4 separate regions of the Mus musculus genome follow, and all the other regions are reported to be linked to region 2. Evidence: microRNA targets listed by miRTarBase, many of them from high-throughput screens and not tested one by one. Region 2 holds a microRNA gene; each other region holds the end of a gene's coding sequence.

Evidence for each region. Region 2 holds the annotated microRNA mmu-miR-686 (AUUGCUUCCCAGACGGUGAAGA, at 4,924-4,945, opposite strand). A microRNA usually pairs through its seed, bases 2 to 8, with sites in the 3' UTR of a target mRNA and lowers its output. Matches are read on the target gene's strand: a 7mer-m8 pairs with bases 2 to 8, a 7mer-A1 pairs with bases 2 to 7 and ends in A, and an 8mer does both.
Region 1: miRTarBase lists Zfp641 as a target of mmu-miR-686. Seed matches in the 3' UTR shown: 8mer at 2,042-2,049 and 7mer-A1 at 2,385-2,391.
Region 3: miRTarBase lists Ammecr1l as a target of mmu-miR-686. Seed matches in the 3' UTR shown: 7mer-A1 at 4,654-4,660.
Region 4: the mRNA of Lmna is a reported target of mmu-miR-686. Seed matches in the 3' UTR shown: 7mer-A1 at 5,698-5,704.

What each region holds. Positions count from the first base shown.
Region 1 is chr15:98,281,764-98,288,883 of GRCm38, reverse strand. Zfp641 (zinc finger protein 641) reads left to right here. Exons shown (of 6, transcript NM_173769.4): 6 at 1-2,762. The coding sequence ends at 412. Gm33967 (a long non-coding RNA gene) reads right to left here. Exons shown (of 4, transcript XR_001781762.2): 3 at 1,810-2,759. Among named protein-coding and RNA genes, the nearest start is that of Zfp641, 11 kb to the left of the region's middle.
Region 2 is chr14:54,611,823-54,618,942 of GRCm38, forward strand. It overlaps Mir686 (microRNA 686), which reads right to left and starts at 4,963; the gene lies at 4,855-4,963. It overlaps Psmb5 (proteasome (prosome, macropain) subunit, beta type 5), which reads right to left and starts at 6,173. Exons shown (of 3, transcript NM_011186.1): 1 at 5,972-6,173; 2 at 4,693-4,999; 3 at 2,298-2,659. The coding sequence starts at 6,169. The coding sequence ends at 2,370.
Region 3 is chr18:31,780,257-31,787,376 of GRCm38, reverse strand. Ammecr1l (AMME chromosomal region gene 1-like) reads right to left here. Exons shown (of 8, transcript NM_153515.4): 8 at 3,294-6,733. The coding sequence ends at 6,622. It overlaps Gm26533 (predicted gene, 26533), which reads left to right. Exons shown (of 3, transcript NR_165792.1): 2 at 1,623-1,827; 3 at 4,855-6,143. Among named protein-coding and RNA genes, the nearest start is that of Gm26533, 5.3 kb to the left of the region's middle.
Region 4 is chr3:88,476,160-88,483,279 of GRCm38, forward strand. Lmna (lamin A) reads right to left here. Exons shown (of 12, transcript NM_001002011.3): 11 at 6,187-6,453; 12 at 4,989-5,941. The coding sequence ends at 5,915. Among named protein-coding and RNA genes, the nearest start is that of Gm40089, 14 kb to the left of the region's middle.

The DNA.
Region 1 (7,120 bases), not on the chromosome of region 2:
CTTTGGGCGAAGGCACCACCTGATCAGGCACCAGAAAACCCATCTGCATGACAAGCCAAGCAGGTGCTCTGAGTGCGGCAAGAGTTTCCGATGCAGCTCGCACCTGGCCAGCCACCAGAGAGTGCACGCAGACAGCAAGTCCTGCAAGGGCCAAGACTTTGGAGAGAGTCCTGCGGCTCAGCACTGCGTGCCTCCCGTGCCAAAGTGCCATGTGTGCACTGAATGTGGGAAGAGCTTTGGCCGGAGGCACCACCTGGTGAGACACTGGCTGACCCACACCGGGGAGAAGCCCTTCCATTGCCCTCGCTGTGAGAAGAGCTTTGGCCGCAAGCACCACCTAGATAGGCACCTGCTGACCCACCAGGGACAGAGTCCTGGGAGCAGCTGGGACAGAAGGACAGCTGCCTTTTGAAATCTGTCTCTTCTGTAGCCATGGTCATATCTGTCAGCCGGTGCTACCAGCAGCCACTGCCAGAGCTGGCCCTCTCCTGTACCCTGAGGGCCAGAGTATTTCTCACCATTTCTGTGAGACAACGTGGGAAAACAGAGTTCTCTGGGCAAAATTGTGGGAAATGGTGCAAAGTATGTATGTGTGAGGCTATTCATGCTGAACCTACTCTCAAGGGAACCAGCAGTGATAGCTGAGGTCCATTCTCACTGGTTGGGGTCCATGTGGTACCAGTTCCCAAGTATTTACTCTACACAGAGAGAAAGTGAAAGCGGCTGTTAGTATATCAAGGGCTCTGAGAACCCCCACAGTCAATTTCTATTCATGTAATGTTTCCTAAATTTGTTTGGCTCCAAGATCTACATCAAATTCTACAGAATGGGTGACTCCATGAAGTACTGGGCTAAGATGAAAGGAAGAAACAGGAAAGAGATGGTGATCAGGCATTCGGAGCTTGAGAGCAAGGGGCCAGACACTCTCATGTGGGTCTGCCTCCTCTCTTCCTCTTCTCTCTTCCCCTGTGATCACATGCCTCTCACTCCTCCCTCTGAAAAGTATAGAGTGAGCTTTCACTCCCAGTTCATAGTCCCTCATCCTGTACACACACACACACACACACACACACACACACACGTTCAACATGCACATACCACACACAACCACATGGATGCATATGCACACACATGCACACATGCTACACACACACACACACACACACACACAGCTGAGAGATCAGGTTACAGAGCTAAAGAGTGAACTTTGTTACCCAAGTAATCAAGGCCCACACAGAAGGAAAAACTATCCCCTTGAACAGAGCTTTCTCTTGTCTGTGTTTTTGTGTCCGTGTGTGTACGTGTGCAGGGTCTTTGAAGACAGCATGCTCAGTGCGAAATGTACAAGTTAGGTTTTCTAGGAACTGTGTTCTAGGGATAAGGGTAGTGGGGACGGTATGAGTTTTGGTTTTGTTTAAACGTATTCTGAGTGGTACAGGGAGTCGTAGTGGGATGGTGTAACAATGGCTTGAGTTGTGTACAAAGTTTTCCTTGGTATTCCTGGGATGTAGACAGTTGTGGATTTGTATATCTAGGTCTGAATCCCTGGGAGGAAATTCCCTTCCCCTACAGAGACGGAAAGGGACAGTGACTTGTTGTTGTTGTTGACCTCGAGCAATGTGATGGTGGTTCGTGCTGCGTGGGGTTCTGTCTTGTTTTGTTTCACGTGCTAAAACTATCAGGACAGGGGTCACAGCCCTGGGAGTTACTCTTGTCATCCTAGTTTGGCTTTCATCAAAGGGAAGAATGGTTGCTGAGCCTCTCATTCTCCCAGGAAAAAGAACCGGAGGAGAAAAGGCTGTTGCTTACCTTGCCGACCTGAGGCTACTGAGCTTCCTGAAGGTGTTCCTGCTGCCTCTGGAAAGGGCTTCACACTTTGGCTCTTGCCTCTGAGGTTAGCGCCTGCACCAGGGTTCAGACAGATGTCCCCATGCCTGTCAGTTCACGAGTTTTCACTGTTTTTTTCTTTTTGGTGACTGTGTTAATACACATCTTACAACTTAACCTCTATTTAAGAGAAGTTTGGAGTCAGGGAGGAACAGAAGCAAAGAATGTAAGAGGGGGTGTCTTCAAGGCTCACGCACGGGCTGCTGCTTCTCCTTGAGATATTTATTTCTCGAACACTGTTAGAATTAGCCAGAGAAGACACAGGAGGAAGTGATTTTCAGCGATCTAGTTAATGAGTGCTCTGCTTGAGAAAAGCTGGGTGAATCAGAGAGAGCTCTTGGGCCCTTGGCTCGAGAGGAATGGAAACAGAGTTATTCTGCTGACTAGGCATTTTGGTTAAATTGAGCAGCCCAGCCTCCAACCTCTTTCTGCAGCTGCTCAGAACAGCCTCCCTTCTTGAGCTAGGATGCATTCTCTTGCTTGTGTTCTGATGAATCAAGCAAAAAAAAAAAAGGGGGGGGGCAACCTTGCAAGCAGGCCTTAGTCTCCGGGGATTGGAGTCGTTCTAGAGTCAATGTGATGAGAATGAGAAAACTCGCCCACTTTAATACACATATTTACGATAAAGTCAGCTCTGTGCAAAGCAATCCCTTCGGAATCCGGTAGAAACCAGGCAGAAAAGTAGACATTTACAACTCACTCATTTGCATATGCATTGGACAAGTGGACTCAGAGCCTGCCCTTGGCATCTCCAAAGGAGAGGAACAGTTGGTGGTGGTGTCTCTCTCACATCCTTAATCCCAGCTTCAGGGAGGCAGAGAGAGATGGTTTCTGCGTTCTGGATGAGCCAAGGCAATGTAATGAGATCCTGTCTGAAAACAAAACAAAACAAAACAAACAAAACATAAGGGATGTATCCTTCCTGACTGGTTGTTGTGTAGATGACACTTGTATCAAGAACTACAAGGCAAGATTCATCAAGTATTTTAAGGATTTAAATACTAGAAGGCACCAGGAGATGAGGACAGAGCCAGGCCTTCAATGGCTAAGGCACGGCTTAGACTGACTGTGCCCTGTTCTTAGGGAACATCAACGTGCTCATGGCTCAGCTCACAAAGCCGGCTTTAAACGCTTGTGGGTGTTAATGTTCCTACCTATCAGACGATACCTCTCAATAACAGTGTAACCTCCAGCCTTTTATCTGCTTTAGTAATTGAGGGGATAGAAAGTGGAGCCCCCAAAGGGTAGGTGCGGTTACAGCATCCAACTGAAAGGCAGCACAGAGTTTAAGGGCTTTTTTTTTTCCCAAAAGGAACAGTCCTTTGGCTCATTTCTGATGTAACGTTATCTTGTCTACCTCGGTCCAATACAACGCCTTTGGACAAATAATAAAACGAGCAACGACCATTAAATGAGTGAATGGGTCTGATTCTTCACATAACCTCAAATTTTCACCTCCTCAACTCTTGGGTCTCATGAGTACACTCTCCAAGACCCTTACATTTTAATTTTGTGTATGAGTGTTTTGCCTGAGTGTATGTATATGCACCACATATGTGTGTCTGACACTCTCAGAGGTCAGATGTGGGCAATGAATTTCTGTGAGCTGTTTGCATCTACCCTGTGGGTGCTGGTCCAGGTAACGCCACACCTCAGGCTCCGCCCCTCTCTTTCGTCACCACTCGTGTCCACATCTTAGGCTCCGCCCTGGGCTCCCTCCTCTTACTCAACTCGTTTCCCCACAGGCAGCACCCTACTTGCTTTCTTCTCACTTCTGTTGTTCCGTTGAGTTTGTTTTGCCTGAGCAATCTCATCCCTTCCCAGGGGTATTTATTCTGCCCCATTTCTGTCCCTGCAAACCTAGTTTCTCTAAGTTTCTGGCTAATTGCACTCCACTCCGATCCCATCGCTACCCCTGCCTGCTGCCTAGTCTTCTCCTTGCTCCCTCCTTTTCTTTTTCCTTTCTCTCTCCATCTCTCTCCGTCTTGCCTCTACTGTATTGAAAATCTCACCCATGGTGCACCGACCCACAGTCCACTTCCCCAGCCCACTGCTTGCCTCTGCTTGCCTGGTCCAGCTCTTTCCCTCCTTTCCGGGATGCTTTCCTTCCCTTTCAGAGGCATTTCTCATCTATTTGGAGGCTGGGGGGAGGATTAATTTGCCCTTCCTGAGCCTCAAACTGTCTCAGTTTGCGGAAGGGGGCGCACATAAGGGTGTGTGCTCATGCACACGAGCGGAGAGATGGATGAGGACTTAATATAGGGACAACATAGCCAAAGAAGAGAACTTAGTGGCTGAGAAATCCATTCATTTCTCCAGATTTTTTTTTTTTAAACCACAGCAGAGTATGTGTTGAGGGGTGAAGCGAGGGGCTGAAGGGGAGGGTGTGTCTCAGTCTGGACAGCCCCCAGTCGCCCCTCCAAAACAAGCATCAAAAACAATCTCCGCCCCCTACACACACACACACACGCACACACACACACACACACACACACACACACACAGCGTCTCTCCCCCACCACGCTGGATCCTGCTCAACTCCCAGTGCTGCTGACTCAGTGACAGGCTCCATAGAGTGCTGTAGCGTCAGGATAAGAGTGGGCGGGACCTTGGACTTCCTCAGTCAGGGACCACTCTGCAAATACCCATTATGCCTTTGCGGGATAGAAGTGGGGCCCAAGGTCATGATGACCCGCTCCAAATGACCTCTTGTCAAGTTCAGAGAAACTGGATGTTTTCGGGAAGCTAAATGGAGCAGGCACAGGTGGAGTTAGGGCATGGAGAAAGCCGGCTCTGGGGTTGCTTTGAGTGGGGTGGAGCGGGGACTGAGAGGTCATGATCGACCCACTAATGTGTTGTTTTGAGACCAAGCCTCAGGCCTGCAGACAGCCTGGCTGCATGAGCGTAGCAAGGGGTTTGGGGCTCCATGCTATTGAGGGAACCTTCTAGACCCCTGCTTAAGGGATGTGCCTCAGATTCCTGCGCACTGGTAAGAGCGAAATCGCTAGATCCCTGCTTCAGGGATGTGGTTCCGATTCCTGCGCACTGGTAAGAGCAAAATCGCAGGATATGGAAGAAGAAGGTTCACTCTCTTTGCTTGCTTACATATACATATACTCACACACATATACATATATACACACATATGCACATATATACATATACTCACACACACACACATTCTGTCGGTTCTAGATAACCTTCTAGATAAATTATAAAGGAAAAATTCATCAGAATAACACTTGGCTTCTCAATAAAAACAACAAACCAGAAGAGAGCAGTATATTTACTCTAAGTTCTACAAACACCACAAATGCCAACCCTGACTCCCTTACCCAGTGAAGCTGTCTGCCAAAGTTGAAGCAAAACTGCAAGTCTCAAGCTTTAATACCAATGAAACTCCTTAGTCAAAAGGCATAACGTAGTTGAAAGGACTTGCAAGAAAGATCCATCCTTCTCTCATCTATAAGAAAATCATCTTACTTTCAGAAGAGACAATACTTTAAGGTGAACAGATGAAAGTATTTTTTTCAAAGCAATTTAGACCAGAAAGCAAGCAGACATTGCTGCCATCATATCTGACAAACTAAACATCAAATTAAGATTAATCAGAAGAGATAAATAAGACCATTTCATCTTGCTCAAGGGAACAATTAACTAAAAAGACATTACAATTCAAAATTCTGGTACACCCAACCTCATAAAAATCATACCAGCGGATTTCAAGATGCAAATTATCCTGGGCTCAGCAATAATAGATGGTTTCAACAAGACACAGCCCATCTGGACAAAAATAATGGATGATATAATTCACTTGAGAAATTATTTTGATTAATACATCTGAACCATAGACAGGATGATAGAAATCTCAATGTGTTACTAACGCTCATATGACTGTTGGCATGAGGGTAGAGAACGGAGAGCTGTCTAAGCAAACACAGAAGGGAGTCAAGAAAAGATGGTGTCACCTTAGTCACCTCTCAGACATCATCAGAATTAAATGACATCACCTATCAAATGATCCTCACATATATCTACAGGATATTTTGCTCAAGCTCCAAAGATTATATATATATATATATATATATATATATATGTATGTATGTATTCAGAGCTTATACATACATACATGCGTGTGTGTGTGTGTGTGTGTGTGTGTGTGTGTGTGTGTATGTGTGTGTGTGTTTTACTTAGCAGCCAATGGACGATTCTCTAAAATAGACCACATACTGGGGTTCAGAATAACTCAAATAGCTCAGTGTGTCTGATCTGACAACAATGCAATAAAGCTCAAAGTTATAACCAAACGAGTCTCTAATAAATTACACAAAACTAAACAACATGAATTGAATGAATCCAAGAAAAAGAAAAAGAAAAAGAAAATGAGAAAATCAATTCCCGAGGTAATGGGGAATGAACAGACAAAAACCTCTGTAAAACCATGGGGCTCACTAAAAACAGCCCGAAGAAGGAGAGTTATGTCTCTGAGTCAAGTCCCCTCAGCTAGAAATTCAGAGCTTCATCCCAGTTTCTCGAGATTTACCCTAAGTCTGTCTGCAATGTGCCAGCCCAAGCCCCCTTTCCCAGCCCACCTCCATCCCTCAGGATTAGGATTTTTGTACAGACCTAGAGTCTCTTTAGTTCTTCCAAGATATCTGGGACACTATGAAAAGACAGTATCTACAAATAATAGGGCTCCAGGAAGACATCATAATCAAAACATTAAAGAAAGGATATTAAACCTGCCATGGAAGGACTCTATGTAACAGAGGGAGGCAGGCCCATTTGAATAGCACTGACTTTCCAGTGGAGATCATGAACAATAGAAGGACTAGGTTGATATACTAAAAGCTCTGAGAAGAAAGAGATCCCAACTCAGTCTACCATACCTAGCAAAAAATATCAATCACACAGACAGAAAAATGATTAAAATGATTAAAACAACAACAACACAAATTTAAGCATTTTCTGTGCACTGATTAAGCTACACAGAAGGCACTAGGTGGAAAACTCAAGTTTGCAGAGAACTACAGTCTAGAAGACATGAAGAATAAATAACCATAGAACAGTTAGTGAAAAAAGACAACAAAATATAATGAATTAAAAAATACTGCTCATTAATAACTCTAAACATCAACAGTCTCAATATCCTATTTATAAAAACATAGACCAACAGATTGAGTTAGAAAGCAGAGTTCATCTCTCTGGTGTACCCTAGCATCAAGGAGAGATG
Region 2 (7,120 bases):
GACTCACTAGAGTAAGCTGTGAGCTGCCTACTGTGGGTACTGGGTACTGACCTATCACACACTGACTCCTATTAAACGACTTTTGTACCACCGACCCAGGTTAGAATAGGAATATGCCAGGAAATTCTAGGTCTTCAGGTTTCACATCCTCTCTCCTACAGGACTCTGCAGATCAGGGGTGGAAACAGAGACCACTGCCAAAGCAGTGTGAGGAGACCTGGGGCGAGAAGCCCATCCAGTGTCTGTGTGTCCTGCCCTCTGGAGTAATGAACTGGAATCTGTCTTCAGCATGTTCCCTCTTCAAGGCACAGTTTTCAAACAGTGTTCTTTGGGGTCCCAGGGAATGTTACAGAGGCTGTAAAAGTACAATGATGGGGGCTATGCACTCTGAGACTCCACTTCAGCCTTTTTTTTTTTCTTTTCTTTTTTTTTTTTTTTCAAGACAGTGTTTCTCTTTGTAGCTCTGGCTGTCTTGGAACTCACTTTGTAGACCAGGCTGGCCTCGAACTCAGAAATTCGCCTACCTCTGGCTCCCAAGTGCTGGGATTAAAAGCCTGTGTTACCACTGCCCAGTCAAGTTGATTTATTTTTAAACATTCTAAATATATTTTTTAAGACTGGAGAGATGGCTCAGCTTTTAAGAGAATTAAAACAAACAAACAAAAACAATACAAAAAAAAAAAAAAAACCTCACCCTTACTTCCAATTTATTATGTAGCTTAGAATGGCTAGGGTTTGAACTTAGGGCTTCCTAAATGCTAGATATGCACTCTACCATTTGTGCTACATTCCAGCCAAAATATTCTAATTTTTAAAATGTACAGTCTGTTTGGGTTCTCGCTAATGGTCCTCTGGCTCCAGAGCTGTACAACAAAATGAATCTGCTGAGGCAAAGGAGTCATTTGTTTTCCAAACTCTGTCCTCCAGGCTCACTAATCCACAATTTCCCTGCACTTGACAAATGCAATTAACAAGCCTCGATCAGTTCCCATGGACAGCATCATTGATCAGAACACAAACTGCATGGCGCTGAGAAGGGAGCTGCAGTCCAGGGAGCCAGACCCACCTGACTTCTACTCACTCGCAGTCTATGGTCCATCCTCCTGACAACCCCACCTCTGCTCACAGACCACCTCGGGGTGGGGTGTGAAGCCAACAGTGTGAGTGCTCAGCAGGGACCTTCCCAGCCACACATTCTAGCAGCATTTGGGCTGCTTCCTGCCCCAGAGGCCAGAAGCCAGCCTCTCCTCCTCAGTGGCAGGCGCATCCGTGCCCTGAGAGAACAGAAGAGGACTACACAGGCTTCCACTTTCTCAGGGCTCAGGCCTTCCCTTCCCATCTCACTCAAGACTCCAGATCTGGCCCAGTGTGTTAGCACATACCTTGACTCCCGGGTCTCAGGAGGCAAAGGCAGGTGGGTCCCTGTGAGTTCAAGGCCAGCCTGTCCTACAGAGTGAGTTCCAGGATAGCCAGGGCTCAAATGAAGAAAAGAAATTCCCAGATTTATCCTGTTTATCATTCTACATTGCATAGTCTCCTCCTACCCCAAACACAAGACCTTCCCTCTGCAGCCCCGCCCACAACATCCCTGTGCATCTTTCCACCTCAACTTTTCACCTCTTCAAACTGAAGCAAGAAGTCTCCCCTCCTCCCCACCTTTCTCTCCTGCTTTGCTGTCAGCTTCAGGACTGGGGACATTAATGTATTCACCAGACTTTGTCCTCAGACCACCATTTCCTGTAATTACAGTGCCTTCTCTCTCACTGTCCTGGCCTGAAAGGAGGGGCAGTGTGGACAAGAGGCTGAGAAATGGTACAATTTTAGCACCCAAGAAACAGCACAAGCAGCGAGTGCATCAGAGCCCACCACCCCACCCGGTAACATTCTTACCCATGATTCAGAGCCTCACAAAGGTGTGGGGAGCGGGTGTGGCGGCAGTCCCAAAGGCGCCAGGGACTGCAGCTAAGTCATATGACTTGCACCTGACTTCCTCATATAAGACACAAACATCTTGAGTGCTGCGCAGGTGTACCAGGATACAGGTGAATCCAATTTGGTGGAGATTTGCCCCTGCTGCCCTGATTAGCTGAAGCCTCGTGACTGGCGAGGGGGCGTGGCCTGCGGTGCGTGGATGAGAGAGTATAAAAGGAGTGAGAGGCCCAGGGTTCGGGGGAGATATAAACAAGAAGAATCAGGACTGAATAAACTGCTGTTAGAAGGACTGGTGGTCGCGTCGTTCTTGCTGGTCGAGAGCGGGCGCGACACAAAGGCACTGAAATAACTGTGGACTCCACTCTGAAAGAGGTACTATTATTTATTATAGCCATGGAGACCCACCTAGAGATGCAGACAACCGCATCCACCTTCCCTCAGGGGACAGATACACTACTGTACTTGTCATGTAAGTCAGCTACATTGTCACTGGACACCCGGATCCAGCCATCCTCCCGCACGTGGTAGAGGTTGACTGCCCCTCCGGAGTAGGCATCTCTGTAGGTGGCTTGGTAGATGGCTCGGCGGGCCAGATCATAGGCCTCCTCCACTTTCAGGTCATAGGAGTAGCCTCGATCCATAACGCCGTAAGCATACACGGAGCCAGAGCCCACTGAGAAGGCGGTCCCAGAGATCCTGTTCCCCTCGCTGTCTACGTAGTAGAGGCCTGAGGGGATGAGGTGAGCAGGGAACGAGAAAAAAGACGTCATTTTAACACCCCTCCCTCTCTCTCTCTCTCACACACACCACCCCGCCCCACCCCGACAAAAATAGGATCTCCTTGGGAGGCAGAGACAGGAGGATTTCTGAGTACGAGGCCAGCCTGGTCTACAAAGTGAGGTCCAGGACAGCCAGGGCTACACAGAGAAACCCTGTCTCGAAAAAACAAAAAACCAACCAACCAACCAACCAAACAAACAAACAAACAAAACAAAAACAAATCTCAGCACACTTGGGAGGTGAAGGCAGGAGGATCAGGAGTTAAAGGCTAGGCTTGACTATGTATTAAGTTTGAGGTCAGCCTGGGCTACATAAAACCCTGTCTCAAAACAAAACGGGCTAGAAAGCTTCCTCGGCAGTTAAGAGTGCTTGTTGCTCTTGTCTAGGACCCAGGTTCAGTTCCCAATATACACGGGGTGGCTCGCAACTGTCTGTAACTCCAGTCTCTGGGGATGCAATACCTTCTTCTGTCCTCTGTGGGCACCAGGCATGCAAGTGGTATACACACATATACACATGCAAACACTCACATACCCATACAGAAACTCATAAAGAAACAAATTTTCAAGAAATCAGAGAAAGACAGAGTCAAATTTATCTTGAGATTTCCAGATTCCAGAGCACCATACCACCCATCTCTCCTCACAGTATGTTAACCATCCCTCCTGCTCTCTCGGCAACTCCAAAAGGCAAGCATGCTGGCCAAGTCAAGCACAGGACTCAGGAATGGTGGGAGATAACGCTTAAATGACAACTCTGTAGCCTATCGTTGTCATGCAACACAGTGGCTAGAGACTGCATGAAACTGACTTCAACACTTGAAATGGTACTACCGCCAGGTACTGAGAAATAATTTGGGCATTTTATATAAAATTAACTATACACCAACTCCACTAGTTTTACTGACTTCTGAGATACAATGTTTCTGTGTGCTCCAGGCTGTCCTTCTGCCATACAGCTTAGGCTGGCCTCGAACTCTTGACCCTCCCTAGTGCTCTAGGGTCACAGCTGTGTATCACTTGGCTTATTTATTTTTTACAATGAGGGCCAGTGAGGTGAGTCAGCATATAACTGTTGCTTACCACCAGGCCTGATGTCCTGAGCCCGGCCCACAGAACAAGAGAACCAACTTGAACAAGTTATCCTCTGAACTGCAGATATGCTGTAGGATGTGTTTGTTCACACATACACACACAAATAAATAATTTAACTTAAAATTTAAAAGTGGGGGGGGGGCTGGGGAGATGGCCCCCAGGGCAGGGGGAAGAAGGACGGGCCACTCTTGCCAAGGACCTGGGTTTAGCTCTGAGCACCCACATGTGGCTCACAACCATCAGTAACTGCATTCTAGAGGATCCAATCCCCTCTCTGGCCTCTTCAGGCACCATGAATGCACTGTGGTGCACAGTCATACATGCAGACAAAACACCCAAGCATAGAAAAGAACACAATTTTTTTTCTTTTGGTTTTTTGAGACAGGGTTTCTCTGTATAGCCCTGGCTGTCCTGGAACTCACTTTGTAGACCAGGCTGGCCTCGAACTCAGAAATCCGCCTGCCTCTGCCTCCCAAGTGTTGGGATTAAAGGCATGTGCCACCACACCTGGCTAGAATAGAACACAATTTTTAAAGTTTACAATTCCCCAGTACAAATGTTTTCTAGTCATTATTGCATGGGAAAGAAGGAGAGCTGTTGTGCCAGACATTGTACCAATTGCTCTATGTGCACCACACTTAACCGCTTCAATGGTTCACTTAACCAGTTCCCAGATGAAGAAATAGGCTAAGGTCAAATGACTAAGCAGTGAGTGACACAGCAAGTCTAACTCTATGCTCTTTCCTATTCCGTACAAGGCCTTCCTTGGAAAGGGAAGGAAGAGCTGAGAACCTAATATCGCATCCATTCCCAGCACCTGTTAAAAGCCCTCAATTCTCCCACCCATTTAACCCCTTCCCACCATGGCTCACAGGACACAACTCACCAGGGCCTCTCTTATCCCAGCCACAGATCATGGTGCCCATAGACAGCCCCATGCCTTTGTACTGATACACCATGTTAGCGAGCAGTTTGGAGGCTGCTGCGACCGAGATGCGTTCCTTATTGCGAAGCTCATAGATTCGACACTGCCGAGCCAACAACCGCTCCCAGAAGCTGCAATCCGCTGCACCCCCAGCCATGGTGCCCAGAAGGTACGGGTTGATCTCTATTACTTTCTTCACCGTCTGGGAAGCAATATAAGCACCTGCTGTGGCCCGGGAATCCGCTGCAACAATGACTCCATGGAGAAACTAGTTAAGGTCAGAGAAAACAAAAAGAGAGGCCCCGTAAGACCACAAATACTCCCCATACTTTATTTTTGTATAAATACAGAAAGATAACCTGGCTTTGCATCTTTTGGGATTTTGGAATCGACTTCTTTTTTGGGGGGTTTGGGGTTTGTTTTTGTTTTTCGAGACAGGGTTTCTCTGTATAGTCCTGGCTGTCCTGGAACTCACTTTGTAGACCAGGCTGGCCTCGAACTCAGAAATCCACCTGCCTCTGCCTCCCATGTGCTGGGACTAAAGGCGTGAGCCACCACCACCCGGCGTAATCGACTTCTTATGTTAAATGTCATTCGGGTTTAACAGCAGTTCCTGATTTATGAATAGCCCTTTTACTCACTTTAAATATGAAGTAGCAAGTTTAATGAGATAAAGACACCCTAAGGGGACTGGAGAGAGAGCTCAGTGGTTAAGAGCACTGGCTGCTCTTCAGAGGTTCGGTTCCCAGTGCTCACAAAGGTCTGTAACTCCAGTCCCAAGGAACACGACGCCCTCTTTTGGCGCCTGCGAGCACTACACACGTGGTGTATATACAAAAAATAAGAATAAATCTTTAAAGACTAGCCTAAGATCCAGAGCTAGTTATTGTAGGGCTGGAACAGGGACCCTAACTGTTCGGTACCCACTTCAGTAGCCCCTGGACTTCATCAAGCTCAGTTTATACAAACTTTGGTGAACGGCGACAATGGCTTCCCCCCCGCACCCTCCGCCACGGTCCGCTGTTCCCAGGTAGGGCTCCTGAAAAGGGGCAAACTGGGGTCGCCTAGGAGCCAACCCACGCTGTCCGTCTCCTTCCCTCACCGCCCCCTATCTCCGCCCACCTCTCCTTTCTTAAGGCTACGAGACAGTGAACCCGCCAAGGGTCGGGAGGAGGGGACCGAACCTCCGCCCGACCCGGTTCCGGCTGGGATGCCGGAGAAGCGCGAGCTGTCTGAGCACCTTGAAGGCCAGGGTGGTGGTTCCGTGAAGCATTTCGATTCGCGGCTCCTCCGGGACGCCCCAGCTCGGCGCGGCTAGGCTCAGCCCATCACCAGGACTCCCCGGACCCAAGTCCAGCAGATCTGCACCACCTCCGAGCCCAAAAAACCCGTGCTGATTCACCGGCATCGGCCGCTGCAACACGCTAGCCAGCGCCATGTTTAGCAAGGGCAACAGGAACTGCCTCCGACTGGCAACGCCGCGACGTCACAACTTCACGTCCAGCTAAGTCTAGACGGAGGCGGCGCCATTTTTACTCCGGGCAACCACACCTCTAAATACCAGCGCCGGTCTGTGTTCACCTAGGAAGGATGGCTGAGTGGTTAAGATTGCCATTTTTATTTTGGCATCGAAGTAGTACGGATAAGATTAACTTCTAATTTCTAGAGAGTGGTTGGAATGTTCTTCTCGAGTGAGGGAAGCGAATTCGGCCATCTTTGAGAAGGGCGTAACTGCTTAAGACTCCTAACTGGACTAGGGTGTTTGGTCACTGCCCAGGCCCAGGTTCAGATTGCAAGCTGTTTCTTTATTTTTCAAAACCCCGTTAAGGAGAGACTGAAGTGGCCATTTTCTTTAAGGCCACCTATCCTAATCCTGGTTCAAATAATTGTTTTCAGACCATTTTCCCATGGTATTAATTCAGCCGCAATAGTTGGTTGTCAACAACAAAAACTCCACCGCCTGTTTTTGATAGCATTTATATACATACCCTAGCTAGGGTTTTGTTGTGGCTTTTTGGGTTTTTTGTTTGTTGTTGGTTTTTTAGTTTGTTTTTTTTGTTTTTGTTTCATGCTCTACTATCCGGATTGTTCTTAAATTTACTAGGTAGGTAGGCCAGGCTACCCCCTCTTAACTGGCCAGGTTTTCCTGCCTTGTTTCAGACTAATGAAAGGCAGGCCTGAGCCACACACCAGGCTCACTGCCCCTTAAAGGTTTTTGTTTTGTTGTTTCTTCTTGATATTTATTTATTGTTTGTACATGAATGCTCTATCTACATGTACTCCTGCATGCCAGAAGAGGAAATCAGAACTCTTTATAGATGGTTGTAAGCTACGGTTGCTGGGAATTTAGCTCAGGATCTTTGGAAGAGCACTGAGCCATCTCTCGAAC
Region 3 (7,120 bases), not on the chromosome of region 2:
AGTAGAAATGGGCTTGAGATTCAGTCTACAAACACACACACACACACACACACACACACACACACATAGGGAAAAAGATGGAGGAGGGAGGGATGAGGAGAGAAGTCACCAGGCATAGAGAGAAAAAAGAAGAATAGCCAGGCGTGGTGGCGCATGCCTTTAATCCCAGCACTTGGGAGGCAGAGGCAGGTGGATTTCTGAGTTTTAGGCCAGCATGGTCTACAAAATGAGTTCCAGGACAGCCTGGGCTAAAAAACAAAAAAAAAAAAAAAAAAGAGAGAGAGAGAGAGAGTAAGAAAAACATAAAGTTACATTTCACAGATTGGCCTGTATATGACATTTTTATTTAGGAAACCAGTATAAGCCATCTGTTAGGCCATATGGTTAAAATGATGAGTTAGGTAAAAGTCTGTCCTCCTGTCCTTCTGTCCTCCAAATGAGCTCACCAACAGTAGCTAGAGCAATATCGACAAATGATCTAACAGAAAGTCAGAGAAGATGCCAAGAGAAGGTCAAGAGTCTGAAGTTTGGATATGGTTTAAATTAATCTCCTAAAGCTTCAAGTACTAGAAGTCAGAGCTGTTTAAGAGGTAGGGAGTAGCCAGGTGTGGTGGCGCACGCCTTTAGTCCCAGCACTTGGGAGGCAGAAGCAGGTGGATTTCTGAGTTCGAGGCCAGCCTGGTCTAGAGAGTGAGTTCTGGAGAGATGGTTTAGTTACCACAGTGCTTGTCCTTATACGCACGAGGACCCAAATTCCATCTGGGAGACAGTTTGAGGGTAAGAGGTGGACAAGGAAAGAAAAAGCAGGCTCCCGTAGATTGCTGTCTCTTGTTCACAGAAGACATGGGGAGAAATGGCAGAAAAGCACGGGGACAGGCATCTGAACAGGACACCCATAGTGGGAAGAGGAGACCCCAGGGGCTCTAGAAAATTATCAAACCAGAGTCCATCAGGGTTTCCAAGCTGTAGTCTTTTATCCCTAGGGATAATTGTGTCACTTTCCCATTCTCCAGGGCTTGGTCCTCTGTCTTTCCTTGGTGTTCAACATCAGGGAGTGAGCTTGATGGTCTTCTAGATGGCCACCAGTGCCCTTGTTACACTACTGAACACTGCTCGACCAGGGACCAGGCTGCCTGTCACAGCTCACCACCCCACAAGTGTTGGCAGTTTTCAGTAGTGTAGCTGTGAGTTGGCCATACTCTAGTCAGTAACCCTAATAAACTAGTTTTTGCCAAACTGGACGTGCCAGAGTTTCATTGTCTGCAACTTCTGACAGCTTATCTTGACTTGAAACATAAACACTGTCTCCCTGTACATGCCCAGGTTGTAAAGCACCAGTCCTCAAGTTATGACTCTTGACCCCATAAGTTTGGGAAACATAATTACATAAGGATTCTATCTCCTAACATTAAGACTCTGTATTAGTCAGGGTTCTCTATAGAGCCACAGAACTTATGGGTAGTCTGTATAGTAAAGGAATTTGTTGACTTAGTCTGTTGTCCAGCTCCCCAACAATGGTCAGCAGCAGCTGTGAATGGAAGTCCAAGGATCTAGCAGTTGCTCAGTCCCACAAGGCAAGCAGGCGGAGAGCTAATCTTCCTTCTTCCAATGTCCTTATGTAGGTCTCCAGCAGGTGTGGCCCAGATTAAAGGTGTGTACCACCACACCTGGATCTGGGACTTGCTTTGTCCCAAGCTGAACTTAGAGACCTCCATGCCTCCTACTTTGCCTGGGCCTAAGCTTTTCATGGCCACTGTGCCGCAAGAGCTCCATGCCAAGATCCAGGTCAGAAACTTGTGTCTTCCAGCCTCAAGATCTGAATCACAGGTGAGCCTTGTAATTCACTCCAGAGATAGTCAAGTTGACAATCAGGAATAGCCACTACAGACACAACAGCAAAATTAGTTATGAAGTAGCACTGAAAATAATCTTATAGTTGGGAGGAACTGTACTACAGGGTCACAGCATTAGGAAGGTTGAGGACTACTGTGATAAAGGGTTTGCCATTTTCCCACAATCCCACTTTATATACAACATTATGACAATCCAGGTGGCTAGAGAGCCATCCAGCCCTGGCATTGTGTACTGGACCTTGGCTAAAGAACTTCCAACAGGCTAGGGCTAAAGACATGGCTCTCCACAGTTAAGAACCCTTACTATACAATCATAAACCTGGAGTTTGAATTCCATTTAACATGCCAGGAGTCTGGAGTGGAATTGTGTTTTTGAGATAGGTTCTCACTCTGTAGCCCTAGCTGACACTCCAACAATTTTGTAAACCAGGCTGGCCTTGAGTTTTCAAAGTTCTGCCTGTCTGTGCATCTTCTAAGTGGTGGTTTTTACAGGCATGAGACACCTGTCCTGGTGTTTGCCTGCATGTATATCAGTATATTGTGTGCAGTCTCTAAGAAAGCTACAAGAGTGTGTCAGATCCCCTGGAACTAGAATTACAGATGGTTATGTGGGTGCTGAAAACCAAATCCAGATCCTCAGTAAGAAATGCTCTTAACCATTGAGCCATTTCTCCAGTGTAGATGACTATTGCTTTACTCTATAGCCAAATTCACAGCAGTCATTCTGCCGGAGATTACAGGCATGTGCCACTAATCAACGTTTTTTTGGGGGGTGGGGGGGAGCAGGGATGGGGATGGGGCATAAGATTTCATTTTGCAGTTCATCCTGGCTTTGAACTCTTGTCCATCTTCCTGTCCCCCAAATCATGGTGTTACAGACCTGAGCTACCATGTCTAGGTTTGGAAAGAGCTTTAAAAGTATCTAATCACCCCTACTTTCACCAAGAATTAGCACCGTTAACCTCAGAGAATAAAGGACAACTTCATACCACATATTTAAGCACCTCTAATCTCAAATGATAGGAATCTTTAAGGTTTTATCACACCACTTATTTTGTGTGTCTGTGCCAGACCACATATATAGAGGCAGAGGACAGCGTGGTTCTCCTTCAACTATATTGTGTTGCAAGGTGAAAAGGTCATTTGGTGGCAACATCCTTCATGGGCTGAGCCATCTCACCTATAGTTTTTGATATTCTGCTTTTTAAGAAACAGTCTCTCACTGTAGCCCTCCCATGTTGGGATTGAAGGATGGCTCTATCCTACCTAGCTCATAGGAATCTTTTAACAGGTACTCTCACTGGGATGGGTTTATTTCCCATCTCTTTATTCCCATCAGTTGTGAGGCAGAGGCAGACAAATCTCTTATGAGGACATCAAACAAAATAATGGAAAATCTGTTTCCAGTAACTCAAGTCAGGTGGTCACACAGAGGCAGAAGACAGTTTTTGTCCATTATGATTTATTCTCTACAATACTTCATTCAGGACTCTTGATGACGTGTACTCAGAAGTTATATAGCCACGAGGCAACCAAGTGTAATACAAGTAATTGGTCTGAAGTCTTTGCAGTGAAGGCCATACAATCTCTTCGGGGAAACAAACAAAACAAAACAAAACAAAAAAAACACACAAAAACAGTTTTCTAGGCTTCAGAAATCAATGGAAAGTAACACTATTAGTGAAATTGTAGATGTTAACATAGCATGGAAAACAGATTTTGCTCAAAATATTAAAATTAACACCCAAGACTTTTGTATAGATGATTTATTATAAACAGTAAAATATACGTAATGTCTCAACTACAAACCCTTTTTCATGTGTACAGGGTTTCTAACATGAGTTATTTTAACATTAGGAAGCAAAAACATTTTAAGAACCTCACAGTGGAAACAACCCAACACTAACAAACTCTAATGATCAAAGACATTCGCTTTTAGCTCAGGAAAACAAGGACAATTCATAATTACAGAGTATATGTCCTAGCTGTGGGTATGATGAGACAAGCCAACTTTCCAGACCAAAAGGCACTCACAGCTAGGGATGAAACAAATTCCAAACCAAGCCAGCAGTTTAGCTGGCTCTCTGAGAGCAGTGGGGACCTTGCAGCCTATAGCTAAAGGAAACCCAGGGCAGGAAACGGTCCCTTTCCACTACCACTAACTGGCCACCCTTATCACTGCTTTGGTCAACGTATGGAAGGCAGCTCAGTTCTAATTCAGAGCTTGACCTCCCTATGCAAAGCCCCCAAGTGGACAATCCACAATTGCTTTTTCCTGAGAGCTATCTGCCACATGTTCCCATGAGGTGACCAAGACTGTACTTCAACTTGTGAATGCCTATGCTCAAGTCAGGACTGACACCAATAGAGCCCATGTCTTTTGGGGCAAATAATTTTCCTTGCTGATTTCCAGGTCTCCTTGACAAGGCAGGAGGAACTTGAGCATTTGCACTGCAGAACTGCATTGGGAGCACGAGGGAATGTGCAGGAGTAAGGCGACTTCACTCTGAAACCACTGAGCCCACTTCAGTGTGATGCTGGGCCTTGCTAGCTGGATTCTTGTTTACCGATTCCCCAACCCCACCTTTCTGGGTCTTTCTGTCATTTTCTTAAATGGCAAGTATTCTACCCCACCCTCAATAAAACAAAACACACACTATACATTGGGAAAGACAAGATAGGGCAACATTTCTACAAGAAAAACAGGCTTGAGGAGCATGGCACTGTAGATGCTTGCATGACCAGTCTCACTGAGTGCTCAGGGGTGAAGTTTAGCACCATTTTTTTTTTTTTTTTGCATTTTGCTTTAAATCTTTAGAAATTAAACAACTCTTAACATAGAACGCTTGAACAGTAATGAGTGTAGCCCTATGTATCAATACTGTTTTACAAATTGGAAGTGGGTACCTCAGTCCAGAGCTGAGCACCCTGCATCAATCCATGGCACCTGAGAGCACCTGCTGTCACATGTCAATAACATAGCCTTCATTCCCCTCGGCAGGCAGCATGAGACCCCTTCATCCTAGGTATGTGAAGGAACCCACCCTGGCAGTAAGGGCCATGCATCCTGGGCATTCCAATGTCATCAGCACTTCCCTCATCCATTCCAGGTCTGTCATCACTCCTGGTACAACCTCTCTGCCCAGTTTTAAAACAAAACAAAACAAATGAAAACCGCAAGAACTTTGAAGTGATGCCTAGAATAGCACATATGGAAGTAGATCTACTTCCCTTCCTCCATTCCTGGCACAAGAAACTGATGAGCTAGGACTTGAATATTTGCCCATTTTGGAAAGCCACACCATCACCACATCAATCCTAAAAAAAGAAATCAAAACATATGTTCACCAGGTTGAGGCCACATCTGCCTCCCGAGTCTCTATGAATGTTGCTGAAAACCAGTGCGCCATCCTCAGGAGCCTTTCTTCCAGCCGGCCGTTTCCTTTGAGTTGCCTGAGCAGTCAGTGCCTTTGAGACAGAGCTGTCAAAGCACCTCCCTAGTTTCCTAGTACTACACGTTTTGCCACCAAATGAATGAAAAGAATTTGCTATCAGCTATTTTGGAATGAGTAAAGATGGGAGCGGGAATGTCAAGAGTTTAAATGAGCAACACGAACAGTTTGGACATTTGCACTGGTGAAGTGAGGAGTCCCAGTATGGTAGGCAAGTTAAAGGTTCACCTTGTTTTATTACACAGCATTGTTCTAGTCCTACTGAGGACTGATATAGCAAGTCTTCCTACTTCTGCAGGCAAATCAGAATAAAGAACTCCCCTACTTAAAGGTCCCTCAGGATGTTTGCCTGTGAAGAAAACCAGCTCAGAGACCCTGGAAGCTCTCCTGTGACAGTATGTCCTAAAGCCCAACCCAACCACCTGTTTACATGTCTGTGCTTCTGAGAACCTAGATGCAGCTACATAGGCACTGCTACCAGAAAAGAGTTGAGGTAGCCGGGTGGTGAGGAAGAGATCTCTCCTTTCACACCTGCTTACGACGATGACATTGGGACCTCTATAGGCATCTCCATTCCATTCCTCAGCAGGCTATGCCACAGAGCTCACAGCAGGAGACTCAATGCAGGAAGAGTACCAGAATGTCCACTGAGAGTCGGGTAAGCATGAAAACCTTCACAGCTTACTGTACGATGAAATGTCATCACAGGATTTCTGATCTTGGTTTGAGAATCTTATCCAGGACTCACAGGGGCTCATGGTGCCCATGTTCAACCCTAACATGGTGTTCACTTCTGAAGCATGGAGGTTGTGGATCAACTCTTGGTACACAATAAACTGGAAGTTTAAAAAAAGGAATTTAAAACAACCTAAAAGTGGTTCCTGTTGGTCTCCGTTGCCCAGACTGCCAGGGAGTACAGCTAATTGATGTGGCGGGCTGTGGGGGATTGGGGAAGAAGCCTCCATGGGTCACAGTCAATTCCAGTTTTCAGTGTGTGGCCAATACTTGTGGGAAATCACCAGACAACGGTCTTCTGAACCCACACAGCCATTCTCACTGGTTATTGGGGAGCCCTGATCCAACAGAACCCCAGATTGAGGAAAGGCTGATATAAGGCTTGGGCCCCTCATGTTCTGTTGCATTCAATGTATCCCCACACCCTCCAGTCAGCAGGAGGCAGACTTGGCAACGGAAGCTAGCATCATAAAATGGTGCAGTAATAGAAGTAACTGGACCAGGAAGAGGAGGCATCTGCTCCAATGATGTCATAGCCATTGGTGGCCACAGGGGGGTGGGACTGGTCATGTAGCCGTGTGTCAGGAGTAATGATTGTAGAGGGGCGGGGCATGAAGAGTGCCATTCTGGAAACAGTGCTGTCGAGAAGCAATATACTCTGCATAACTGATTGTCACCTTCTCACTTCGATACCTGTATGAGGAAACAGGCAAAGTGTTAAGAAGCCCAAATATCTCAGTGTCAAGAGTCACTCAGTAGAGAAAACTAAAGGCTTATCCCACAGTTCCAAAGAATAAAATGGAAGACCAAGAGCAATCTTACAGAAAATGAAAAGACGGCACAAGAAAATGACGTTGTTATTACAAATGGACACGATGAGAAAGCACAACCACAGTTCAGCCCTGAGAATGCATCTCAGCACATCCCACCTCAAAACGCTACATATGCTTATCAACAGGCTGCTGGTAAGCAATCTGCTCCCACCATCTGCATGAGGAATTCCAAAGTCAAATTACATGGGGGACAGATTGGAAGATGGCTTCACCAAAACCCAGTGTAAACTGCGTTATCTACGTTCAG
Region 4 (7,120 bases), not on the chromosome of region 2:
TATTACATTAAAAAAAAAAAAGCCGGGTGTGGCGGCGCTTGCCTTTAATCCCAGCACGTGGGAGGCAGAGGCAGGCAGATTTCTGAGTTTGAGGCCAGCCTGACTGGTCTACAGAGTGAGTTCCAGGACAGCCAGGGCTATATAGAGAAACTGTCTTGAAAAAAACAAAACAAAACGAAAAAAGACAGGGTCTCACTATGTATCTCTGGTGGCCTGCATAAGGTTGATCACTAGATAAAGTTGGCCTTGAACTCATAGATATCCACCTGCCTCTGCCTCCCAAGTGCTGGAACTAAAAGTGTGTGCCACCACAGCCAGTGTGATGCTCTCTGTTGTCCACCTGCCGTTGTTTGGAGCGACCTGAACCACACCTCTGTATGTCTGGAGTGGGGCAGCTCTAGAGATGTTCAACTAAGGTTGGCAGCGCCCCCTAGAGTGAATAAAAAGGAAAAGAGCAAAGAGGGTGAGGCGGAAGCTTAGCCAAGGGCTTTCGCAACATCTACAAAGCCCTGGGGCCAAGCATCATGGAAACCAGTTGTGCTGGTGTGGCTCCTGACTGGGAGCCTCGAACTCAGGGAAGAGAGGTGGCATCAAGGTCACCCTCAACTGCACAGTGAATTCTCAAAGCTAGCCAGAGACATATGATGAGCCTCTAAGAAAAAATAAGAGAGGCGCAAAAGTGTCAGCCATGGTCTCTTTCTGCTCTAGGACCCAATGTGACCCACTGCCTCACCCTTCTCCTGTCATATCTTACTGCAGAGACGGACTGGCTCAGAACTAAGCCAACGACATAGGTAAATGGCTCAGAAGATAAGCACACTTGCCACTAAGCCTGACACCTGCGTTTGATTCCCGGTCTCGAAGGAAAAAAGAAAAGGAACAAAGAAAATTAAAATGAACAACATTAAAAAAAAAAAAAAAAGTAGGGCTGGAGAGATGGCTCAGCGGCTAAGAGCAGTGACTGCTCTTCCAGATGTCCTGAGTTCAATTCCCAGCAACCACATAATGGCTCACAACCATTTTTTTTCTCTGTTCAGTCCTGGCTGTCCTGGAACTCACTCTGTAGACCAGGCTGGCCTCGAACTCAGAAATCCACCTGCCTCTGCCTCCCAAGTGCTGGGATCAAAGGTGTGAGCCACCACCGCCTGGCTCATAACTATCTTAATGAGATCTGATGCCCTCTTCTGATGTGTCTGAAGATAGCAACAGTGTACTCACATACATACATACATACATACATACATACATACATACAATAAATCTTGAAGGAGAAGGAGGAGAAGGAGAAGGGGAAGGGGAAGGGGAAAAGGAAGAGGAAGAGGAAGAAGAAGAGGAAGAAGAAGAAGAAAATTGGAAAGTAAATATACATAAGACAGTGAGATCTCGATTGCTATTTTTTCATTTTGTATTCTCTATCATGGCCAAGTACTACATGGACAATAATAAAAAAATTAATGAATGCCAGTATTACATTCTTTAACAAAAATATAGACAAAGTAATCCTTTGAGGCCCAAATGCTAAATTGTGTCTATCTCCAAGGGTTTCAGAGGGTAACTGCGGATCTACCCTCAAGGCCAGTTTACCTTGGTATTTTACCACTTGCCTTAATGGCCTTTGGCGCTTGGCAAGAGCTGGCTTTGAGACCTGTGGGTGCAGGTGAAGGTAAGGCCTCAGGCTTTATCCTTTCTCAGGTTCCCAGTCTGCTCTGAGCCTGCCCTACCCATTCCTGATGCCTGAGGCGGGGCGGGGTGGGGAGGCGGCGTGATGAGACTCTTGGCGCCCCCTGGTGCCCTAGCTGGAAAGTGCATGTATGTACATTGTACATCCCAGAAGAGTGGACCGTGCGTGAACTGTTCTCTTACCCCTTGCTGCCATTGTGCAGGGCTGGCAGGCTGGCAGAGGATACACACCTGGGCTGGATTCTCACCAACTTCTACCTCTTCCTGTTCCCTTCTCCTGAGGCTGTGGGGCCTCAGCTTAGGAGATGCCACGGACTTTCAGTGTGATTCCAGAGCCCTTTCTCCTTTCGTTAATTTCTTCCTCTCCCCCAGCCTGCCCCTAAATGTATTTATTTTGTTTTGTTTTGTTTGTTTGTTTGTTTGTTTGTTTGTTTGAAACAGCGTCTCAAACTCATGGCAATCCTCCTACTCCAGTCTCCTAAGTGCTGGGATTACAGAGATAAGGGCCACATCGTGATGTCTTTTTTTTTTCCATGCTGGGTATGGACCAGGGCAGCCAGGATGTTAGAAACGTGCTCCTGCCTACAGATGGCCCTCTCAAATAATTAAAGTGACTTTTAAAATTACATTTGTTTACTGTGGATGGGGCAATGTGTAGCAATTTCCTTTGAGAGTTAAACCTTCCATCTTGGAGCTGGAGAATCGGCTCAACAGTTAAGAGTTCAGACTGTGTGTAAGACCTAAGTTTGATTCTCCACATCACACTGCCTGTTAAATACAACCTGAGGGATCTAGCATCCTCTTCTGGCCTCTGTGGGGAAACGCTCTCACATGCACAGGGAAGTTTATTAACACACAGAATGTTAGGACCAGGCATGGTGATCCCACACATCTGATCCCAGCACTAGGGAGGTAGACAGGTAGATCTCTGGGAGATCAAGGGAGTCTGTCTACACAGGGAGTTCCAGGATAGCCAGCTATACACAGTGAGACATTGTCTCAAAAGTACTGGGTCTAAAGCAGCAGGATGTCCTGCTTGTCTGACAGAAGATGAAACACTCTATCTTGCTAGGATAACTTGTTTTTTGTTTTTTGTTTTTTGTTTTTTTTGTTGTTGTTGTTGTTTTTTTTTTTTTTTTTTTTTTTTTTTTTTTTTTTTTTTTGGTTTTTCGAGACAGGGTTTCTCTGTAGTCTTGGCTGTCCTGGAACTCACTTTGTAGACCAGGCTGGCCTCGAACTCAGAAATCCACCTGTCTCTGCCTCCCAAGTGCTAGGATTAAAGGCGTGTGCCACCACCGCCCGGCAGGATAACTTGTTAAGCTCAGAAAGTAATTAACTTAATAGCTTCAGGAAGTTCCTGAAACTGACCAGGTGGCTGTCTCTGTCCTCGAGATATCTAAGCAGTAAGGACTACTCAGAAACACTCAGACTAAGCTGCTCGAGGGCAGAGACTAGTTGATCTGCCTGGAAGCTGAGTCACCTGGAAAGGACATTCTCTGACCTGCTGTGCTGCCTGCAGCTGTGGGCTGACCTCCAGGTTCCCAGCTCTCCTGAGCTATCTGTCACCCATGCTGGGCGAGCTTTGGTGAGGCAGCCATCTTTGATTCATTAACCCCTCACCTCTACTCTGTCAGTTATCCCAATAAACTTCACTGGTTCACCAAGTTGGGCTTTGGTGGCCCTTACTTTGATCTATTGTCATTTTTCTGTCTGAGATTAGTAGTCACTGTTATATCATATTGTGAACCCCAAGACTGGACACTGGAAAAACCTGTTTCTAGTCTTGGTGTAGCTCAGCTCTAGCACACACCTTTAATTCAAAAGCTTTCTGTTTATTGTAAACAAGATTAATAAAGTCAACCACAGGTCAAGAGGTGGAGCAAGCAACCAGTTGACAGGGAGTGAACACAGGGAAAAAAACCATAGAGTGAGAGGTCAGGAGGATGGATAGAGAGACACATGGGATCTAGAATGGAGGAACATTCAGTTGGTAGGGTTGGTTTTTATAACAGGGTAGAGGAGAACCAGTTTTCTTTTTCCTTCTGGTAAGTCAGTTGAAGAGTGGCAGCTGGGTTCTCTCTCTCTCTTTCGTTTTAAAAATAAGTAATTTGTTCAATCTCCCCAAGAATGGAATCACACTGCATATGGCAACATGGAGGTCAGAAGATCACGTGCAGGAATTAGCTCTCTCCTTCCACCATGCGTGTCTCAGGGGTGGGGTTTAGGTTTAGCACGTGTCTCTACCAATGAAGACATCTCTTGGACTCAATCACTTTGGGTTTTGTTTCTTGTTTTGTTTTTGTTGTTGTGATTTTTTTGTTTTGTTTTTGAGACAGGGTCTCTCCTATAAAGCCCTGGTTGCTGGAACTTGTTATGTAAAACAGGCTGGCCTTGAACTCAGAGATCCACCTGACTCTGGAGTGCTGGAATTAAAGGCATGCAATAGCATGACTGGTTCAATGATTTAAAAAGGTTTGATTGTGTGTGGATGTGAATTCGGGTGTACATGTGTGTGGGGTGGGTGCTCATATGTGAAGTACATAGACTTGGCATTCTGGAGACATGTTGTATGTCCTCGAGCTGGAGTTACAGGCAGTGGGAGCTACTTGACTGGGGGGCTGGGAACCCAACTCAGGTTCTCTTCATTTCAGAGTCATTGCTCCAGCCCTCAATCACTTTTGACTGAACGCCCAGCTCTTCTCCCAGGAAAAGACTTTTGTTTAGTTTTGGTTTGGTTTCTTGAGACAGGGTTTCTCTATGTAGCCCTGACTGTCCTGGAACTCACTCTGTAGAGCAGGCTGGCCTCGAACTCAGAAATCTGCCTGCTTCTGCCTCCCAAATGCTGGGATTAAAGGCGTGCATCACCACTGCTGGGCTCCAAGAAAGACTTTTGAAACAGGGTCTTGTGAATACCAGATTAGCCTCAAACTCACCACACCCCACCTTTTCTTTCCTTTCCTAAGAGTATCTCGGCCTACAGAGGCAATCACAGCATCCAGAGCCCTGCGACTACAGGGGCAGCAAGGGAAGCTCTGCTACTTCTGGCCCCTACTCTACCCTCCGTCTCTCTGTGCTCCTGTGTCTGATGCACATGTGGATTGCTGGCCCCTTTTAAAAGGTGCTGGATGGATGAGGGATAGGAAGGACACCCCTCGCTCACCCCACATATGCTGACCTTTCTAGAAGTCTCCCTCATACACACCTTTATAGCTGGGTAGTGAATATATAGTGAATGTGTGGCACCTCTGTGTGCATGTGTCTGCCCCTGAAAACACACATCACACCCAACAAAGAGACACCACAGCATCTGGGATGGAAACAACTAGTGTATTGATTTGGAGGGGAGAGCAGAGGTGCAGATGGGAAATGGGGTGAAGGGTTCCTTAGTGTTTGCTGTAGCCACCAATCGCCGCACCTCTAGACTTCTCACCAGCCCCAGCAGGTTCTCCCCATCTCTGGGAGCCTTCGTCCCCCACTCTTCCCTGTATCCCACTTGACATTGCCCTCCATCATTGAGACAGAGCCCACCAGGCTCAGAAGCTGGGAAAAGGTAGGCTCAAACTGATCTTCCCTTCTCCTTCCCCGTCATTCCCATCTCTTGTCTAAATAAAATATAGAAAAAGCAAGCACGGCAGATTTGCCTCTGGGAATCCACTCGCCCCAGGCTAGGGAAGGGCAGGAAGAAGGTAAGGCAGGCAGAGGAGCCTCGGCCTCGTGTAGTGCCGGGGAGGGGCTTGACCTTCTCAGTCATCCTCTCTGCGCCCCATTTCTCTGCAGCTGGCGTGGCAGTGGGCCAGCTGTTGGAGGAGGCTGGTGAAGAGAACTCCATGCCTGCCTCTCAGGCACCATTGTCACAGGGTCCTGGGATGAGGGTAAAGCCAAGGCAGCAGGACAAAAATCTAGACTCTATAAAAAGCAGTCCTTTCCCTGGGCTCCTAGAGAAGCCCTTTGGTTTTAAGGCAGATACAAGGAAAGAAAGGGGAAGGACTTAGGATTGAGATAAAGATTTTTTTTTTTTTTGCTTGAGTTTTTCCTTCAGTATAAAACCACTGTAGAAAATAACTTCTCTTAGAAAAAGAAAAAAAAAATAGAAGAAAAAAAAAAAAAACCAAAGGCAGGGGATAAATTTTTCTTTGGCTTCAGGCCTGCTCTCCTAAGGAGCAGACAGGAGGTGGCATGTGGTGAGGGGGGAGCAGGTGGCCTCTGCCCCCAGCCCTGCCTGGCAGGTCCCAGATTACATGATGCTGCAGTTCTGGGAGCTCTAAGAGAGAAGAGAAGGCAGAGGTGTGAGCAGCAGTGGCTGGCCCTTCCTCTCCCTCCCTGACCCCAAAGGGGGTTGTCTCCCCAACCCTCACACTCTGGGCCTTGCCCTGACCTCGAGTCTGGGGTTCAGACAGGAGGGGCAGGATGCAAGAGGGACTGCAAGGAGGGGGACCCCACTCCCTTGGGCTGCCCTGCCCTGCTGCTCAGTGAGCAGTGTCCTGCTGTAGGGCAGAGATGACTCACCTGGCTCCGGGGACTGGAGTTGCCCAGGAGGTAGGAGCGGGTGACTAGGTTGTCCCCGAAGCTGCCACCCCCACTGCCCCCCACACTGCGGAAGCTTCGAGTGACTGTGACACTGGAGGCAGAAGAGCCAGAGGAGATGGATCCGCCCACCTGGGCTCCCGCTCCACCGGCAGCCTTGTCAGCAGGCTGCCCACACGTCCCGCACAGCACGGTGCGTGAGCGCAGGTTGTACTCAGCGGGGTCCCCCGAGCCGCTGCAGTGGGAACCCTGGGAAGGGAGACAAGGCTCAGGAGGGACAGCGAGTTTGGGACTGACTTCTTAGGACCGGCACCTAGGCTGTGGGCTCTTGGAGCTTCCTGGCCATTGGGCAGGAAGGTGACCTCTGTCTGTACCCAGACAACCAAGTGATGGGGACTTGGGAGACCTGTGGCTGGGAGGAAGGGCATGATGGGGGAAATAGCCAGGAAGCCTTCGAAATAAAGAGCTGTGGCTTTAACTCTCTCCTGAATCTTAGACACTTATGGGGCAATCAAGAGGAAGAGCAAAGATGGAGAGACTTAATTTGTGAGGGGACAGGAAGGAAAGAGAACATTGTTGCAGGGAAATCTGAGGAGAAGCATGCAATAGGGTGGAAGGAGAGAGGAGAGAAGTGTGCATGCAATGGGAGTGAGGAAGAGAGGCAGGGCTGGGGCCACCTCTGTCCTCCCAGCCCCTTCCCAGGACACAAATCCAGAACCCTGTCCACTGCCACCGTGGAGTATCCATGGCATCAGCAAGTCCCCACTCCCTTCCTTACCAGACACCTGGGTTCCCTGTTCAAGGTAGAGGGAGGAGAGAGAAGAAAGGCCAGGGCAGCAAGTGGCATTCCAAAACATTCTTTAATGAAAAGACTTTGGCATGGAGGTGGGAGAGCTGCCCTAGGCTGGCAGGGCTA